Zea mays: one gene and its partners. The protein of the gene in region 3 binds, or shares a complex with, the protein of the main gene of each other region. Links are inferred from orthologs where the notes say so. Each region holds a gene or a part of one and is shown on either strand. Other genes may lie near its edges.

Region 1 (5,369 bases), on a different chromosome or scaffold from region 3:
AATCAGCCTAATCGAGTTGTAGCCCCTAGTCGAGTCCAGGATACCAACTAGGACGACTAATCACGATTAACTGGATGACTTGATAACACTGCTAATTGGAGCCTTAGGCCCTGCTGTGGCTATGATACTGTAGTGCAAAAATTGGGAGTTATGTTGCATACAATCTTGTTTGTTGGCCAGAGATTTTCAACAACTGATGTGTCAGGGTCTAAGGAGGCCCACGGAGGGGCTGCGACAGCAGCAACCATGGGCCCTCCAAGGGGATTATATAAGGATAGTTAGAGATAATATTAGAAGATTAGTTGAGATTATTTAGGAGATTAGTTGAGATTATCTAGGAAGGTTATTAGTTAGTAGTTTGTTGAGAGTTTTTAGGAGAGTTTTAAGGAGATAAGGATCTCTAGCTAGATAGGGGCGGCCAGCCGGTCTATTTATGTAATCAATGGATGAGAAATAAAGCAGACAAGAATTAGAAGGGAGAAACCCTCTTCTTGCTCGGCCGTGGGTAGACGCCCCCGGCCGACGTTCCTGCCCATCGACACCCCTCCTGCTTTTCAACTAATCTCCTAAATAATCTCAACTAATCTTCTAATATTATCTCTAACTATTCTTATCTAATCCCCTTGGAGGGCCCATGGTTGCTGCTGCCGCAGCTCCTCCGTGGGCCTCCTTAGACCCTGACATGATGTTTGCCATTTATCTGTATTTCAGGGAACTTTATCTGGCCAAAGGCAAGGACAGCCTGTAATAATTTGTAAACTCGAAGTAAGTCTTTGTTTTGCATTATTGGTCTCCAAAAAAATATAGTATATTGTAAGAAATTATAAAAGTTTCTAGTAGTTTTTTGTTCTGCAGCATTACTTAGCAGAAATAATGGTTCCTGAGTTCCTGAGATATGATGACACTTCTATGCTCTTTGTAGATCTGTATGAACAACACTTCTATGCTCGTTCAACTAAGTTTTGTGATATCTTTGACCCATCTTTTTGCTAAGACTGGAAATAAACTAGTTTTGAATAAACTTCTGAAGTTGTAATCGTGTTTTTTTAAACTTCAGGTAGAGAGAATTTAACCCCTTTAGAAATGGACTGTATCAATTGCTGCGGATGCCCATTTTGAGCCATAGTTTGTTATCACCTTCAAAGCTGGAGTCTTACTTGTGCAGCTCTTTCGCTTTTTTGTTTTGACATTTCTCACTTTAACAATGTCTGACAGGGTTATAGGAGTGGAACAGCGTCTGAAACGTAAGTGTCTGATTTTTTGCAATAAACCTTACATTTTCTTGAATCTCTGTTATACAGTGTTTTCTGTTGATTACTATGATTGAGGTAAGTATTTCTTGTTAGTTGATGTTATGTTGTCGTTGTCCTTGTCTTGAAAGAAATGATACTAGAAATTTTCATTGGGTATGTTTAACAATGGAACCTTTTTGTGGTACTTTCGAATTATGCATCTAGACTTAGTAGGAAACTGAAAGCCGTACTTTCTGCATGCAGACTTGCAGCGGACTGGCCAGAAACAATGCAGATTGTTCGCCTCATAGCCCAGGAGCATATGAACAACAAGTTTGTTACTCATTCTTTTCAATGCCAACTTGTTGCATCATTTTCTTGTAAATGTGCTGTGAATGACATATTTACTTGGTTATTCTGCAGACAATATGTTGGCAAGGCAGACTTTCTAGTTTTTCGGACTTTAAATCACCATGGGTTTCTTGTACAACTACAAGAGAAGAAGCTGGTCAGTGCCTGAGTCTATTTCTTTTTAGTCTCTACTGTATTTAAGTGGGAAAATCGTTGTGCATTGGGTCTCCCTCAGCGCGGCGCAGCGCTCTCCCACGGGAAAAAAAATAAGAAAAAAGAGAGCATACTAGCGCTCGAACCGTGGCCCTCTTCTATAGATATTCTAAATATTGTGTTACACAGAGGATAAATATTGTAAATATATATACATACTAATACATTTAAATTTAAAAAAATATAATCATGCCACGTCGGACCGGGCCGGCACTATAGACTGAGACGGTGGCTCAGGCACGACATGGTTCTCAGGTCGGGCCGCGGTACTGTTAAATGGGCCGTGCCTTGGGTCAGTCTGCTAGACACGACCTATTTGGCTATCTATAGTACAATACCTTCTTTCTCACTATCTCTGATCTCGTGAGCGTGGAAAAAAGCGAGAGAAAAAACTTCATCTCATCTCACCACACATCCGGTTTAGACCGTGTTTGAATAAATATCTTATTTAAATAAGATTTATCTTTATGATATATAAAAACCGTAGCAACGCACGGACAACTAACCAGTAATTTTGTTATTTTGCTGCGGTTCATCTACTGTCGTTTCATACACTTAGTTTTCTGTCAGTTACTTTATACAGTTCTAATATCCAATTGGTCCTGGTTTCAGTGTGCTGTGATACAGTTACCATCGCAAACTCTGTTGCTGTCGATGGCTGACAAAGCAGGTCGTTTGATTGGCATGCTCTTCCCTGGGGTAATCTTGATTGTAGTTAAATTAATTAATGTTCTGCATAATTATCTGCATTTACTAAATGACCTTTTCCCAGGACATGGTGGTGTTCAAACCGCAGGCCTCAACTCAGCAGACACCAATGCAGCAACAGCAGCTACAGCAATTTCAACAGCAGCAGCAGCAGCTGCAACAACACATGCATATGCAGCCGCAAGGCCTCCCACTTCAGCAATCACAGATGCAACTCCAGCAACAGCAGCCGCAGATGCAACCGATGCAGCAGCAGCAACCTTCGCAGATGCAGCAGCAGATGCAATCGATGCAGCAGCAGATGCAGCCAATGCAGCAGCAAATGCAGCATCAACAGCAACAGATGCAGCATCAACAGCAACAGATGCAGCAAATGCAGCAGCAGCAGCAGCAACAACAACAACAACAACAACAGATACAGCCTCAGCAGCAACAGATGCAGCAAATGCAGCAGCAGCAGCAGCAACAGATGCAGCCTCAACAGCAACAGATGCAGCAAATGCAGCAGCAGCAGCAACAGATGCAGCCTCAACAGCAACAGATGCAGCAAATGCAGCAGCAGCAGCAACAGATGCAGCCTCAACAGCAGCAGCAACCCCAGATGGTGGGTACAGGAATGGGGCAGCAGTTCATGCAGGGGCACAATCGGGCAGTGCAGATGATGCAAGGGAAGATTACGCCACAGGGGCCGGGCAGCATGCCTGGGGGAGGCTTCCTACCTTAAGCACCTTTTATCAGCAGGCATCAGATGAATTGAGGGTTTACACTGACCCAAGTGTTGAGATGTCAACTTCATTTGACAGGGTTAGGGAATAGTCACTCGGGGAGTGTTGCTAAAACTTAATCTGAAAACTTAAGCATCCCTGTCACCGATAGGTAAATGCCAGATGTCCATGCATAGGTGCATACTTTATGATATGGTGGTGTACTCGTAATCTTGAGTGACTTTATGGCATTGTTGTACTAGCCGTAAACTATTAGGTATAACAGAATTATTATTTAAACTACAGTAAAATAAGTGACCTGTGTTGTTTAGGGTTTAAATGGTACGTTAAATAGGTAGTTGAATCATTTAAGCAGTTTAAACTGTCTAAACGATTTACATTGAATCGAGCTAAACATGATTAAATAAGCTAAACAACCATTTAATTCATACTTTATTCAATATTAGCATGATTAAATAAGCTAAACAATCATTTAATTCGTCGTTTAGTCAATATTAGCAAAATTGTTTGTTGCAATAGGAATGTAAGTAAAATAGACTGATGCATAAATTTTAGTATTTGATGATTAACATAATCATTTGAACTAATATTGCTTGCTAGTATTTTAAGTAACATTATTTATTAGTATTTATAGATATAGTTTAAAGGATGCAAAGTGTATTTGAATGAAGATAAATTGGTGGTATAAATGATCAAAACCTCAAGCAAGACATTGAAAAACGTGTTGAAGACCTTTTATAAGAATATGTAGATGCATCCGAATTGAACACAAAGATCATAAAAAACTAAGAGAACACTTTGAGCATATATTGGACTATAACTAACCCTAGCTGGCACAGGAGGAAAAACATCGACAAGGGCATAAGACCATATGCTACACTGTTCATGCTTACAGGAGCGTTAGATCGATCCTGTTCAAGGGTTAGGGTCGTTGGGCCATTGAAGACAGAGACCGACGGTCACTAGAGAGGTTTCAGAGAGGGAAACCGAGCGCCAGACCCACTAATGTTGACACAGTAATGACAAGTTCCTTCTTCTGCGAATATGAGATAGACCGACAGCCGGTACGTGACTAAGGGACTGTGGGAACAGCGAAAGACCGGATTCTAAGATATAGGCCAATCAAAAGGAAGATGGTGAAAGACCACCACAAAGAGACCCTCGCTCACGCCTTAGTTGCGCAACCAGTGCCGTCTCAGATTTCATCAGTGCCTTCTCTACCTCAGTCGACTGAGTGGCTCTTAGACTCAGGAGCTTCTCATCATGTCACCGGTGACTTGCTTCGCACCTGTCCTCTTATTTTGCTTATGCTGGTTCAGATACTCTCACCATTGGAGTGGAGTGGAGATGGTACTGGTACGAAAATATCCCACATTGGCTCTTCTCCCGCGGCCTTGTCTCATGGTTCCATTCACGCTTCGCGCCCGGCCTCTCTCTCGCCTTTTCCCACAACTCATTCATAAAACCAGTTGTCCGTACACTCCTCAGCAAAACGGAGTGGCCAAGCGCAAACATAGACACATTACCTTAGCGGCCTTGCTGTTATGCAACACGCTTCTATCCCGGTTCCTTTTGGGATGAAATATTTGCAAGTGTGGTCTATCTCATCAATCGCTCCGCGCCTCTTCTTCTTCTCTCTCTCCCTTCACACAATTGTTTCATAAAGACCCGAATCTTCGTATTCTCAGACAGCCTCACCTCAGACCTTACATTGATCACAAGCTTCAGCCTCGTTCGATGCCGTGTATTTTTCTTGGTTATGCACCACAACAGAAAGGTTACCACTGCCTTCATATACCAACTAACAGAATTTGGATTTCCAGACATGTTGTCTTTGATGAAAATAGGTTTCCTTTTACGGAGCTCTCTACATCTGGATTGACCATTCCCGAGTCCACCATCGAGCCGGCACTGGCACCATTACGAGCGAGGTAGGGCAGCTAGCGAAACAAAGTGCGAGGGATGGATTCGTGCATGAATGTCAGATGGTTGTAGTGGTGAAGCTCGTGATGCTCTGGATGAGACTGACTCTGTATGCCCGAAAGGACCAATCAGGTGGATCATTTGGATAGAGGAAGAGATGGGTGGGTGCACTACCCTGCCGCAGAGAAAGAAGACAACTCTATCTCAGAAGTGAGCT
Region 2 (7,312 bases), on a different chromosome or scaffold from region 3:
AACTCGATGGAGCTCTTTTCTACTAGAAAGTTGCTGCAGCAAACCATCCTTCTCTGCCTTTGAAAACAGGAAAACAAGAACGTCCATAACTAAAATAAAAAGCATGGGTGAAAGGGGATCTCCCTGACGGAGTCCCCTCCGATGCTTAATATGGCAACCTGGAAAACCATTCAACAGAATCTGTGTAGAGGAGGTAGCCAGCAGCCCACATATCAAATCTCTCCAAATTTGCCCAAAACTGAGCTTCTTCATTACCTCAATCAAAAAAGGCCAAGAAAGAGAGTCGAAAGCCTTTGTAATATCTAATTTCAGCAGCAAACTGGCCTTGTTTTGTTGGTGAAGCAACCTGGAGGTCTGCTGGACTAGCATGAAGTTATCTTGAATGAACCTCCCTTTTATAAATGCACTCTGATTAGGTGACATCATCACATTGAGCTTGCTGGCCAATCTATTAGCAAGAATTTTGGTGATTAACTTGACAAAACTATGCACCAAACTGATAGGCCTGAAATCTTTAATATTATCAACTCTATCTTTTTTGGGGATCAAGGTGATATAATATGTGTTGAGGCGCCCAAAATGGACAAAGTTTCTGCCCCAAACAGCAGAGATGGCAGCCATAATATCAGGTTTAATAATTGCCCAGCAAACCTTGTAGAACCTTCCTGTGAAGCCATCAGGGACTGTGCCTTATCTGAAGGAAGGCATTTGATTACATCCCAGACTTCTTGCTCAGAAAAGGCGGCTTCCAAATCAGCCAGGTCATAACTAGGCATCCCAAGAGCATCCAGCTCAATCACCCTTACCCTATCCTTATTGATCCCCAGCAGATTGGTGTTGAATTGGTCCACACAATCAGCTTTCTCCCCATGGCCGGTTAGGATTTGATCCCCATCAAGGCATCAACCAACCTTGCCACAGTTTTTCCTCTTACGGTGATGGGCATGAAGATGAAGCAATTTTGTATTTGCATCCCCATCTTTGAGCCATGAAATTCTTGCTCTCAACCTTGCCATAGTACGCTTGAAAGAGGATAACAATAACGCTTGTTTTTTGAGTCTGAATTTGAGCCATAGCTCAGCAGGGCTGAGCACTCTTCCATCCTAGGCTATTTCCAGCATGTGTAAGATTTCTTTGGCAAGTGCTAGTTGGGATCTCACATGCCCAGCCTGCTTTTCGCTCCAGGCCTGCAATCTTTTGGCTGTTTTGCAGCTTCAAATCCAGAGATTTAAAAGGACATGGAATTCAGCTCAAAAGAATTCCATGCAACAATAACAGTATCCTGAAAACCCTCGATCTTGGTCCAAAAGGATTCAAAGTGGAAACGCCTTCTTCCGGATTTATTGTCACTAAGCCCCAGGATTAGAGGACAATGATCTGAATCATGTGAATCGGTACTCTGAAGGACATTGGGGAAGAGCAATTCCCAATCCACTGAGCAAAACACTCGATCGAGCTTGACTAGAACAGGCACATCTTGTTGGTTGGACCATGTGTACTGTCTGCCATGTAAGGGTATTTCTTTTAGGGCCATATCCTCAATTAATATTCTAAACCTACCCATCATAGCTCCGTTGAAACTATTATTGTTCTTATCTGAGTACTATAAGTCAGACAGTTGAGTTCGAATGAGAAATTTATGTAGATGTTGGTATACATACTGTTTCCTTGGCTTCTTTCTTTCATGCACATGGACCAGTTTCTATTTTGCTTGTTTCCATATCAACTAGCAGAACACATTAGAGTGCATTGTTCCATGCCCTGCTATTTCTTTTTTCTCTCTCACTATTTCCTACTTATGAGAGTGGTCATAAATCTTATTATAATATTTATATTTAACAACTATTAAAAGATCTGTACCCACTGTATGAGTCTTTTTATAGCAAAAAAATATTATTATATTTGTATGCATCACTATTATCTGTAACTAATAAGCTTGCAAAACCATATTTTTGTCCCACTGGTATTAGACTACAGTGTGGATGGTGTTCATACGCTTTCAGTGAATATGGTTCATTTTGATATTGCTATAACCAAATATACATTCATGTCTATCTACTGGCATAGCTTTGGATTTTAAAGTGAATTATAGCATAACACAGATCAATATACTGTTTTCTTCAAATATAGAACTGTTAATGTTCTGCTGCCACAGGCAGTGGTGGATCCAGGAATGGATCAAAGGAGGGGCTGCTAAAAGAAGGTTAGTTTTTTTAGGCTGAACTAAATGATATATCAATGTTTAATATAACAAAGTAACAAGTATAATTCAAATCTTCAAGACACATGTAGACAAAATAAGTAGGTACGAAATCTATAAATACAATACTCAATATATACCGCTCAAGATATCTCCATCAGCTTACTCATCCTCATCTCATATTTCAAACCCCACTCTATAAATAGTGCATTCTACAGTGTAAAACAATGTTTTACACGGTCATATGCACGATCTGCTGGCCATAGCCTCATGAATTACGGTTGCAACGTAAATTTATCTTTCGAGTTCTTATGCCTTAAAAACGTTTCAAAATCTTGTGCTGGCTGCAGCGTGCGCCTTGCGCTGGCCTGCACCTTGTGCTGGCTGCTGGGCGCCTACACGCTGCTAGCTGCTGCAGGTGTGTCGGCCATGCACGCTGGTCCGTGGCCGTGTCCTGCGTGGCGGCGTGGGTGCACAGTGCGCTGCCCGTCAGGCTTTGTGATGCGGCACTGGCACTACTGCAGTGTTATGGCACGGATGGGGGCCAGGCGCGCGTGTGTGCGGCACTACTGTTTGGTGCTGGTGTGCTGTGGCGACATGGCTGCGTGGACGAGATCGGGTGCGGGTGCTAGATGCCACGGTTAGATGGAAGGCTGTTACCTATTTTTGTTGGATTTTATGGACTAAAATTATGATATGATATAAGTATTATTGGACCGGGGCCGCCCCTGGCCACAAGTATGTGTAAATTGTACATTTTAATGGGCATTTACAACAGTGGCATTTTTTTATTTTAACCGCAAAATGATGCTAGAAACTTTTCCAGTGGCTGTTTGCCTTTGGGTTGAAAATCATTGGCATCTCAGCAGGTGTCTCTAAATTAATTGACTGGCTGGACAGCTGATTCATATGATATTTTGGGTTGTGATGAGTTAATATGACAGTTGGAATTTTGGGTGATATTTCATATTTTATACCTTTTTGGCTTCAATGTTTGATTTACTACCTTTCTTCCTTTTATGATTAATGAATGTACAATTGTACATGCAGAACCTTGATAGGATTAAGTGTAGGTTGTTGGAAGGAACAAATGCCCAAGATGTACGGGCACTTGTGTTGGACATGCAAGCAAGATTACTTCTGGATATGCTAGGCAAAGGAATCGAGTCTGCCCTTACAAATCCATCAACTCTGCTACCTGAGCCCTGGCAAGCTTCCAGTGATATGTTATCCAGCATCGATGCTGACAAAATGACTGTTGAGCCAGCTCTGCTTCCAAACATCCAGGTCAAGCTGTCTCCTTTATGCAAGTTGTTTCTATTTCATAGCCATGGAACTTAAATTCAGCTATCTAACATTCTTTCTTTCTTTTTACTGACTTTATTCTTTTAAGACTTGCTACTGAGCCGTTTTTTTTCATTTTATAAAGTAGTGAGCAGTATATTGGTATGCTAGATCACTTCCATGTAAACGGTACTTTAGTTATGTTGGTGAACTCATGTGCAATGTCTGTTATCCTTTGCCAAAACTGGTGTATTACAGCCTTTTAATGTTGAGTATTGTATAAATTTCAGCACAGGTTATCTGCATAGGGATTCTTTATGTTACTAGGAAATAGCTTATTTTATTTGCATTCAAATGCAGGGTTACGTTGATGCTGTTCTTGATTTAGCATCACATTTCATAACTCGCTTGCGGCGTTATGCGAGTTTCTGTCGAACTCTGGCGAGCCATGTGGGGCCATCTTCTACCACAGGCACTTCTAGAAATATGGTTACAAGTCCAACAAACAGTTCTCCTTCGCCATCAAATAATCAAGGTTAGCTATGCCTGCTAGCTTGCTAAATCTTGTGTTTTTCTCTTGTTTGTGCGCAAAAAAGTACATCCAAACCTTATGTTTTCTTCATTGCAAATTTGAGGCTTAAAGTGTTGTTTATTTAGTGCTGCTAGCATCTTGATGCTCCTTCAAATTTCAGGTAATCAAGGGGGATCAACATCTGCAACAGGGAACTCACAAATGCAGGAGTGGGTCCAAGGTGCAATTGCTAAGATTAGTAACAATTCTGATGGTGCTGCCACTGCAACACAGAATCCAATGAGCACGAGGACATCATTTATGCCCATCAGCATTAATACGGGCACTTTCCCTGGCACACCTGCTGTGAGACTTATTGGGGATTGCCATTTTCTTCATAGATTATGTCAATTACTGCTATTTTGTCTGCTTTTCCGAAGAAGGCAATCACCAAGGTTACTTGCCAGTTCGCAAAAAAATCAAGATTCTGCCATGCAGAAAATACAACACATGATGAATGCTAAGACAGAAGATAACAGTTCGACAGTAAGATCTGGTCTAGGGGCTGCCAAAGTAGAAGAAGGTCACTCTGCGCGTGGTGGACAATTTGTTCTTGGTGGTGCAAAGGGTCCTGAAGAAAATCCAATTGGCAAATCTGTTAGAATAGGTTCTGGCAACGCTGGGCAAGGTTATACTTCAGATGAGGTGATTATCAAATTCTTGACAAGATATAGTATTTTTTACAGAGTTTAATATTGAGTTATACTAAGGAAACTTTGGGAGTTAGTGCTACCAAACTGGGACTGATCGTTGGCATTTGAACTTTGGGAGTTAGTGTGAAGAAGCTGACGATGTGCCAAATGCGCTGGAAAACTGGTGACCTGAAGTCCTGAACATAGTGATTAGTTTGGAAACAACTATGTTTTGGCTCCTGCATTTCTTTGGAAATGTCTAGCTTTGGTTGCTATGGGAGAACACATGTCGATATAGCCATCATAGAGTGCAATTGCGTATGTAGGTTATTTTGGACCCTTGATTTAAGCAGTTTAAAATTTTGTCCAGCCTAGCATGAACAACAGTTTGATTGCATATGTCGTTCATGATCTCTATTGAGTGATTTATCAGATGCTTTACAGATCTGTCTTTCTATTCTTTGGAAGATTTCTTTTTGTCTAGTTTATCTAATTATCTCTGTAATTTTATTTCATTGTTGGTAGGTCAAGGTCCTTTTTCTTATACTGGTTGACCTATGTCGAAGGACATCTACCTTGCCGCATCCATTGCCTGCCTCTCAGGTTGGTTCCAGTAGCATTATCATAAGGCTGCACTACATTGACGGCAACTACACAGTGCTCCCTGAGGTAGTGGAAGCGTCTCTTGGTCCCCATATGCAGGTACTAGTCAAATTCTCATGGAAGTTTCTAATGGTCGCTTTCGTACTATTTGTGGCCATTTTGAGCTACCAACATCTATCAATTATAGGAGTAGAAGTTGATTTTCAAGTGCACGACTCAGAGATATTGCAAGTCTTCCTGTTTCGAACTGAATTCAGGACGACCACCTTTAAATGTTGATTAGGATTCTCTTAGCAGAAGTTATCTTTTTTGTATTAGCCATTTTTTATAGAAACATGCACTATTACTGCCAGGGCCTTAGACATGGCATTTTGAGTGATCCCTCGATGCCTACTTCCCCATCTATTTTCAATATTTCATTGTTTCCTATGTCTGTAACTCTGTAGAATATGCCTCGTCCACGAGGAGCTGATGCTGCTGGACTTCTACTTCGAGAATTAGAACTGCAACCTCCTGCGGAAGAATGGCATAGACGCAACATGTTTGGTGGACCCTGGTCAGAACCAGATGATTTTGGTCCATTGGACAATATGCCTCGTCTAAAAATTAGTGGTTCCATCAACTCTCATTTGTCTGACATGGAAGTGGATGCTGTCAGTTCCATTGGGATTGATCTTTGGCCAAGAAAGCGTAGGTTATCTGAAAGAGATGCTGCATTTGGTCTGAAAACATCTGTAGGTCTTGGAGGTTATCTAGGTGTCATGGGATCTCGAAGAGATGTTGTCACGGCTGTGTGGAGAACAGGTCTCGATGGTGATTGGTACAAGGTGAGTATGGTTATGGTCGCTTTACCTTTTGCTGTCAAGTCTGGGTTCATAGTTCCTTGACGAGTTCTTTATTAGAGAATCCTGGTTACTCCCCTAATATACTTCGATGCCTAAATTTGTTGTTTCTTCTTTCTAGTGCATACGTTGTTTGCGGCAAACTTGTGCATTTGCGCATCCTGGTGCCCCAAATCAGACAAATGAACGTGAGGCTTGGTGGATCAGTCGGTGGAGCCATGCTTGCCCAATGTGTGGGGGTTCATGGGTGAAAGTTGTTTGAGCGCTGTATTTGGCAACAACTTCGCTGCTAATTGCTTTCCTGACAAACATGTATGGAGTTCCATAGTTATGCATCTAACGCTAGGCTACTAGGATCAGGTTCAGCCGTTCATGCCAGATGGTTGGTCTACAGGCACATGCACGTGGCACGACCACTGTGGAAGTCTGGTAGAATTAGGAGCTATTCTGGGGGTCTGAATATGTAACTGACATTTGCATTATGCTGTCTAGTGTATTATTAACCAGTGACTTTCCTTGCTAAAAAGGTGTAGCATCGTTACTTGTTCAGCGCTGGACGTACTTTTCATGTTTTGTCAAAGGTTTAGTAGCGCATGGTGTGTGTTGGTAAGGTTCTACTCCTTTTTCTTTTTAAGACAATGATACACAGCTTCCAGCGTGTTCCAGAAAAAAAAACAAAAGATCAAGTATTACTTCTTGGGATCGTGTTCCATTAAAAAAGAGATCAAGTATTGTTCCTTGGGACACGTTCCAGAAAAAAAGAAAGTATTGCCTCTTGGCACTCTGTTTATGTTTCATTTCGAAATGAGACGTCGGCGTGCTTGTCTGTTTGCTGTATTGTTGCAGTTTCTTGAGTAATGTACTTTCTCCGTCCTAAAAAATGTAATTATAAAATTTATACCAGTTAAACAAGTTTAACTTTGATCTATGACAAATACTATTAACAGTTATGTCTTCAAATAAGTTTATTATAAATTATATTTGTGATTAATCTAAATATACTTATTTTATATTACAAATGTTAGCATATCTTTATAATTTTAATTGAATTTTAAAGCTCTTTGTTTCCACGTGTAGTTTTTGGACCTTAGTTTTGTGGGACCATTCAAAATCAAAAAGGCTCCAAGCTCCTCAAAGTGGGATTTTGGCTCAGATGTTTTTCTTGGCTTTTAAAAGGTTC
Region 3 (6,697 bases):
TTTGAGGCCTTAGATGTGGAATAAGAGTGAGCAACAATTATTTCTTTAATTGTGCTAACCAGGATTCAAACTCGAAACCTCTGGCTTTGATATCATATTAAGTTGCATGCACCAACTAGTTCAACCCAAAAGCTTAAGCTGATGGAGAGAGGTAGGCAATTCACTTATATTCTAACATAATCATAGGTGTTTTTGTTTAGAAGACAAATCAAAGCACTTGCATTTTGGTCTTGTGTACTTCTATTTTGTCATGTTGCTGTATATGTTTGGAGAAGCTACCCATGATCCTTTGCTAACCTTTACCCTGCTGATAATCTAAACTATGGACGGGCAACCGAATTGGTATGAAAATCTGTCATGAACGGTCGCACATACAGGCGCGCCCGTGATACGCGTCGAGCGGCCGAACGCGCTGATTGCGCGCGTGAGCTGGGTGCTGCCAGCAGCTAGGAAGGAAAGCAGGATATTTCTAGAATAAAGAGATTGCCAGCGGCTAAGTAGGAAAATAGCCAGCGGCTAAGAAGGGAAGTAGGATATCCCTTTCCTAGAATAAAGAGGTTACCTTCTGCAGTGAGGATAAGAAGGAAAGTAGGATTTCTATTACTAAAATTGTAGTCCTAGAATCAGGGAGAGGTTTTCCTTCATGTTGGTCGGCCCTTGGGCTATAAAAGCTGTACCAGTCGGCTGGAAGAGCAGCAAGAATTTTGTCCCTAGTCTTCTTCTCCCTACCAATCTCAAGCCACCAGCAGAGGGGCATAACCTCGTGGTGAGGTCTGGAGCGCGACTACGAGTTACGTAGTCGCGGTCTGGCGACTCTGGGAGCCGAGACACTTGACAATCACCCCATACTTCTGTTTGTTTCCGAGACACTTGACAATCACCCCATACCTCTGTGAATCATCATCTTGGCCTCAGTCTCCCAAGAGCTAGAACCATCAGCAGGTTGTGAATTATTATATTTAGACTGAGTATTGTCAAGTACATCTGAGAGCTCTTTAGAACTGTATATCCTTGTTGCTGATGGACCATGGTTCATACACACTAAAATTCCTGCAAAAAGAAAAACGAATTTATTTGTACCATGTAAAATTTAATAGTGTTCGGTCATACCCAAGAAATATTAGTAAACTGTTCTATATGAGGTTTCCATTTTGTATTATATGTGCTGGTTATTAACCTCTGTCATGTCCATAGTTTCCCTACTCTAATTGGTGTCCTCTGCTAACAGCTCTTTCCTTGGATCTTCTTGTGGGCTTGGAGTCAATTCTAACTATCTGAGACTAAGAAGGAAAAAAAACAAGTGCAACAGCATGGCCAGCAGTGTTAGTAGTGTGAGTAGCACTTCTGATGGAAGTCAGCGTGCAGTTGCTACTGAAGGTGATATTGTAGCTGATGCTGACTCAATGTCCTGTCGTCAGTCTGATATGCCATCCAACAATGATACTCTCGGTAGTAAGATGGTACTGTAATCTATTCCTTTACTCACATATTTCAGTATACTGAGTTGACCTTTTTCCTGTATTTAAAACACAAAATGGTATTCTTTTCTCTCAACAAGTTATTGATATTTATGATATACTTTTGATATATGGGAGATTATCCATGTGATTACCAACCATCTCGAATGAGATACAAATGCAAAAGGGAGGACAGACTGGCTTAATATACCATCAGCTTTCTCTTCTTGTAAATGCATAACGCTTGAAGCAATCAATAATTAAGTTAAGTATGACATAAGTGACTATATTCTTATTTTTATTTGTGGAGAACAATTTATACCTTTGAGACATTTTAGTCATCCTCAAAGAGATACAGAAATGTGAAAAAGTATGTTGACCTACTCCCTCCATTCCAAACTGTAAGCAGTTCTAGCTTTTCTAGATACATAATTTTTGCTATGCACCTAGATACACATTAAAAACTATGTATCTAGAAAAGTCAGAACAACTTACAATCTGGAAAAAATGTACTTAATTATTCATAATTTTGATTCAAAAATACATGATACTTTTAAGTACTATGTGATGGTTGTAGTTAAAAACGAGACACAAAGCTGGCTAGTAATAGATAAATCATAAATGGAGATACACGGATGCACATGTTTCACTTCTCACATAGATTTATTTTGAGAAAGAGTCATGACCACCTTGGTTGGTGATGGTGTACACACAGATTCTGACTGAACTAGGCTAGATTCCTGCACGTTAATAATTTGTGTGACTAAACTGTGCGCAAATATAAATCTGCTTTACCTCTGCTTAGATAACGCGGTGGCCCTTGACCATGTCTTTGTTCCTTCAATGCTAAAACCATCAGAGTTGTCTGTAATTTCTTGCCTTTATGGAGCTCATGTGCCAGATTTCTGTTTGTGTGATTCAGTCACATCTACACGTTGCACTTTTGAGACTGTTGAGATGTTAACCATTTCTTTTTTAGGAACCGGCCTTATAAGCAATATTGTGATACTCTTTACATGAATGTAGGGGTGTCAGTATAATCATGATGCTTTGTGTAATTAGGTATCCAAGCGGCCTCGTTCTGAATTAACAGAAGTCTCTTCTCATACTGGCAAAGATGTTTGTGAAAACATACAAGACCCGAATGGTCAGGTTGGACACTCTTGGGGCTGGGACGATGAGGGTGTCGTTATGGACATCAATATACTTCTGTCAGAGTTTGGAGATTTTAGTGACTTCTTTCAACAAGAGGAGTTAGATTTTGGTGAGGTAGGTATTCTATATACTTGTAGTATTTTATTTACCTTCGGAGCCATTACTATAACATTCAAACAGTGACTCAATCAAGTCTGAGGCACTCTTTGATAGTGCTGAGCTCAACTTAAATGGCTATGAGCCTATGATAGAAATATGACATTTAAAATCCAGTACATTTTAATTCTGACATGTATATGTCATCAGCCGCAATCTGCTAACTGGAATAAACTATATTGACTCTTTGAGTTGCATTTAATATTGCTGCATTGCTACACTAATGTTACAAGAGAAATTTACTACTGGTTCCTTGTCTCTATTTTAACCAACTACGTCACTACTGTTTTTTATAGTGTTTAAGTTATAACCAATGACCTCTGTTAGAGCTCATAATTTAAACTCATTGATTGAAAAACATTTAATTGTGGTGTCACTAAAGGTGAAAGAAATTTCTTATAGCGTGCATTCTCATCCCCTATTTAACTTTTACTTTAACTAGTTGTGAAATGACTATTGAATTATCTGCTCCTTGGATTTATTTGAAGATTTACCATGCTACTTTTGATGATGGGGAAACTGTCATCATATAAGTTTTATTTAAGGAGTTAGCATGCTACCTTTGATGATGGGGAAATACATCCCTCTATGATTACATGGCTGTTTAGAGTGGCATCTTTGTGATTTACCTGTAGTATTAATTCATGTAACTGAAAATTCCATTTCATATAGCCTCCAGGTACTGCTGAATCACATGCTCTAGTAATTCCTGCTTCAGACTGTGGAGATGTCACATTCACAGATAGTCCATCAACAGCAATGGATATCCCTGAACAAAGACTTTCTCCTGTTGGTTTCACAACTTTGGATGCATTTGACCATCAAATTATGGCCCCAGCTCAAGATGTTGTTGCTAAAGTTCAAGAACCTCATAATGATACTGCAACACCTGCACAGTCCCACTCGCAAGTTTTATCATCTGGAAGATTTGATTATCTTACCAAAGCTGAAGCAAAGCTCACATTTGCTCCAGAATATGCAGCTGTTGAAATTTTGATTGCTGAGGCCCCAACACCATTGTTTACAAATCCATACTTTCCTAGATCAAAGAAACCAGGCAGTTCTAGTTTTAGTGCAAGAGTTTATTCATATGATGTTGCACAAAGCTCTCAAATTGAATCCACAGGAGACAAGCCAGATAAGACTTCTAAACTAATATCTGGTAATCATTTACATGATATTAGTTCATCAAACTTGTACACACTTGTCCAAGGTGGGAATAAAGGGAGTGATAAGATCTTAAAGAGTACTGATACACAGCCCTCTAAGGGAGAATTGTCACCACCTATTTCTGGTGTGACTTCATTTAATTTTTCTCTTGTTTCACAAAAGAAGAGTGGCAACATGTTCAATGCTGGCTATTTTCTGCTGTCTATGAAGACTGCTTTGGCAACTGAAATTGAATGCATCACGTTCCAGGCTGCCATGTGCAGAATTAGGCATACACTATTGTCTCTGAGAAGCAAAGCATCTGCCGAGTTTAACAGTGCAACATCCAGCTTCATACAGACAAATGTCAGCAACAAATCAGATCTCACCCCCAGGTATGACATGAGAAAAAAAGAAATTATGACTGTAAGGTTATCTAGTGATATTGATCATGAAATGTTTGACAGATCCTTAATGGACAATGTGGGAGTTTGGAGGCCTGTTGTTACACCTAAAGGGCCTAAATCTCTTGAGTCTTTGTCTGCTAACACATTAACTGGTGCAAGCCCAAGTCTGTCTATACAAAGACAACCTGTTGTAGATCTTCTCTGTGCCATGACTCTGCTTGTTCAACAATCTACTTCGTTTGTTGATATGTCACTTGATATGGATGACGGGGACGGTTCTTTTTTCTGGCTTTCCCTGGATGAGCAAAAGAGACGTGGATTTTCTTGTGATCCTTCTATGGTTCATGCTGGCTGTGGTGGCCTATTAGGAACATGCCATTCAAAGGATTGCGCTGGTGTTGATTTAGTCGATCCACTTTCTGCAGAGGTAAAATCTTAGGCTGGATGTGCTTGCTTCATTTTTTTTATTTTTTATTACCACTGGTACTTGCGAAAGGGCTGAGTTGGTTAGGTGGTGTGACTAGCACTCTTCAGATTCTAAGTTTGGCTCTTCTAGGAGCGAATTTCAGGCTAGGTCTAAAAAAGGGAACATATCTAATGCAATCATACATATTGGTGCAACCATGCAACCAAGACACAAACATGGGGTGCTGCAGGAGGCAGAGGGCTCCTTGTGTTGTCTGTTTTGGCGCAGGCTGATGTTGTTTAGTTCCTAGGGGGGTTGCTGGGGTTTTCCCCACCCCCCTAGTTCTTTGTATCTTTTCTTCTTCTCTTATTAATATAACACGCAATCCTCTTGCGAGTTCGAGAAAAAAAGAAGGCCTTCCCACTTCCATGTTTGTGTCTTGGTTGTATGGTTGCGCCAATTTGTATGGTTGCACTAAATATGTACCCGTTTAAAAAATCCCTTCGGCTGCCCCACATCAAAGCACATGTCTAAGGCCTGACCCTGGTCATGGGTGTTCTTACATGGGCTACAGTGTATGAGTGGGGCAAAGGTTCGGGGGATTTTCTTGACCTGCGTGAGAAGGTCTTCTCTATATATGATGCCCGGGGGCTGTCCTACCCCCACAGGTCAAGTTTTTTTTTATTATCACTGGTACTTGTGTGGTACATTGTTTCTCCATATTCCAGTATTCATGTTCAGTCCCCTTTGTACAGGTTTCAGAGCCATCCATGATTAGCTTGTTGCAGTCAGATATAAGAGTAGCTCTTAAAGCTGCCTTTGCAAACATGGATGGCCCGTTATCAGTAATTGATTGGTGCAGGGGTCGAGGCAATGCTGCTGAGTCTGCAGGTACGGGAGATGCATACTCTTTTCAGTACTCCAGTGGTGATATCCTGGAGCCGTCAAGTTCGTTGTCCATTGGTGGAGATTCAATGAGCCCACCCCAGCCAACCAGTAGCAATCGAGGTATACCTGCTGTGACCTGCACTCTGAACTTGATAATTCTGCTGCAAAAATAATATTGCCAAAGGGAGGAAGAGACGATGATTGTATCACAGGAGATTTGCGTGTCACTGCAGGCATTTCAGAATTAGAGTTCCAAAAGGGATATCACCGTGTCAGACCAACCATTGCTGTCCTCCCTTCACCTTCTATGCTAGTCGGGTAATGTATCTTTTATTTTCCATGAATTGTTTTATCCTGCTTAAGCATATGTATTTGCATGAGTTACTGATGCAAGCATTAAAACTGCAGTTACCAGGATGATTGGTTGAAGGCCTCGGTGAATAGTCTTAAAACATGGGAGAAAGCTCCTTTTGAACCTTATGCCTTGCCGAAGCCTGTAAGATTAGTTTGGCAGTGTTCTGTCACTACCTTCTTTTGCTCCTTTCCTTTCATGCTGCTTCTGGGGAATTCCTCCTCTCCAAACAGGGTCTAACTACTTGAAACTATCTTTTTAGCACTGCTTTTAGCCGGGTTCGTGAATATTTTTTTGTAACAGCAAAGCCACCATAGCGCAAATGCCGCAGCAGCACCCCCCCTCCGACATATACAGTTAGTGACTATATATTCGTTTCATTGATTTTGTCATCTGTTCTCTTTTAGGTTACTTACTATGCACTTTGCCCTGATATTGATATGTTGACTTCGGCGGTAGCTGATTTTTTCATGCAGCTTGGAACAGGCAAGTGATGTTTTTCTTGCTTCGTATTTTCTTTAGTTATTTCTCATGAATAATATTGCTGATATAATCTATTCCCCGCGTTGAGTCTATCCCTAAATAATTGCCAATTTATAGTACATGCAGCTGAACGTAAGTACATAAGCTTATATGCTTTTAATATGGCTCATAACACTATATTTTAAACATAAACCAGATGTCACCATAAACATGATTCACGTATCCCCCCCTTTTTTTTACAACA

Evidence for each region.
Region 1: Mediator of RNA polymerase II transcription subunit 13-like (region 3) and mediator of RNA polymerase II transcription subunit 25 share a complex: the UniProt entries of both Arabidopsis thaliana proteins name them as parts of the mediator complex. The link is inferred for Zea mays from reciprocal best matches to the Arabidopsis thaliana genes GCT and PFT1.
Region 2: Mediator of RNA polymerase II transcription subunit 13-like (region 3) and uncharacterized protein LOC100216950 share a complex: the UniProt entries of both Arabidopsis thaliana proteins name them as parts of the mediator complex. The link is inferred for Zea mays from reciprocal best matches to the Arabidopsis thaliana genes GCT and SFR6.

The regions. Positions count from the first base shown.
Region 1 is NC_050097.1:178,588,577-178,593,945, reverse strand, and holds the end of mediator of RNA polymerase II transcription subunit 25, read left to right. Parts: intron 1-711; coding exon 712-765; intron 766-1,215; coding exon 1,216-1,244; intron 1,245-1,496; coding exon 1,497-1,565; intron 1,566-1,655; coding exon 1,656-1,740; intron 1,741-2,408; coding exon 2,409-2,495; intron 2,496-2,568; coding exon 2,569-3,228; 3' UTR 3,229-3,548; downstream 3,549-5,369. UniProt on the Arabidopsis thaliana protein: Component of the Mediator complex, a coactivator involved in the regulated transcription of nearly all RNA polymerase II-dependent genes.
Region 2 is NC_050096.1:232,622,705-232,630,016, reverse strand, and holds uncharacterized protein LOC100216950, read left to right. Parts: upstream 1-3,451; coding exon 3,452-3,487; intron 3,488-3,844; coding exon 3,845-4,019; intron 4,020-4,176; coding exon 4,177-4,700; intron 4,701-5,212; coding exon 5,213-5,389; intron 5,390-5,736; coding exon 5,737-6,117; intron 6,118-6,253; coding exon 6,254-6,394; 3' UTR 6,395-6,846; downstream 6,847-7,312. UniProt on the Arabidopsis thaliana protein: Component of the Mediator complex, a coactivator involved in the regulated transcription of nearly all RNA polymerase II-dependent genes.
Region 3 is NC_050104.1:30,387,260-30,393,956, forward strand, and holds part of Mediator of RNA polymerase II transcription subunit 13-like, read left to right. Parts: intron 1-1,228; coding exon 1,229-1,460; intron 1,461-2,519; coding exon 2,520-2,726; intron 2,727-3,440; coding exon 3,441-4,312; coding exon of another isoform or gene 4,313-4,384; coding exon 4,385-4,751; intron 4,752-5,485; coding exon 5,486-5,738; intron 5,739-5,851; coding exon 5,852-5,936; intron 5,937-6,026; coding exon 6,027-6,114; intron 6,115-6,377; coding exon 6,378-6,456; intron 6,457-6,697. UniProt on the Arabidopsis thaliana protein: Component of the Mediator complex, a coactivator involved in the regulated transcription of nearly all RNA polymerase II-dependent genes.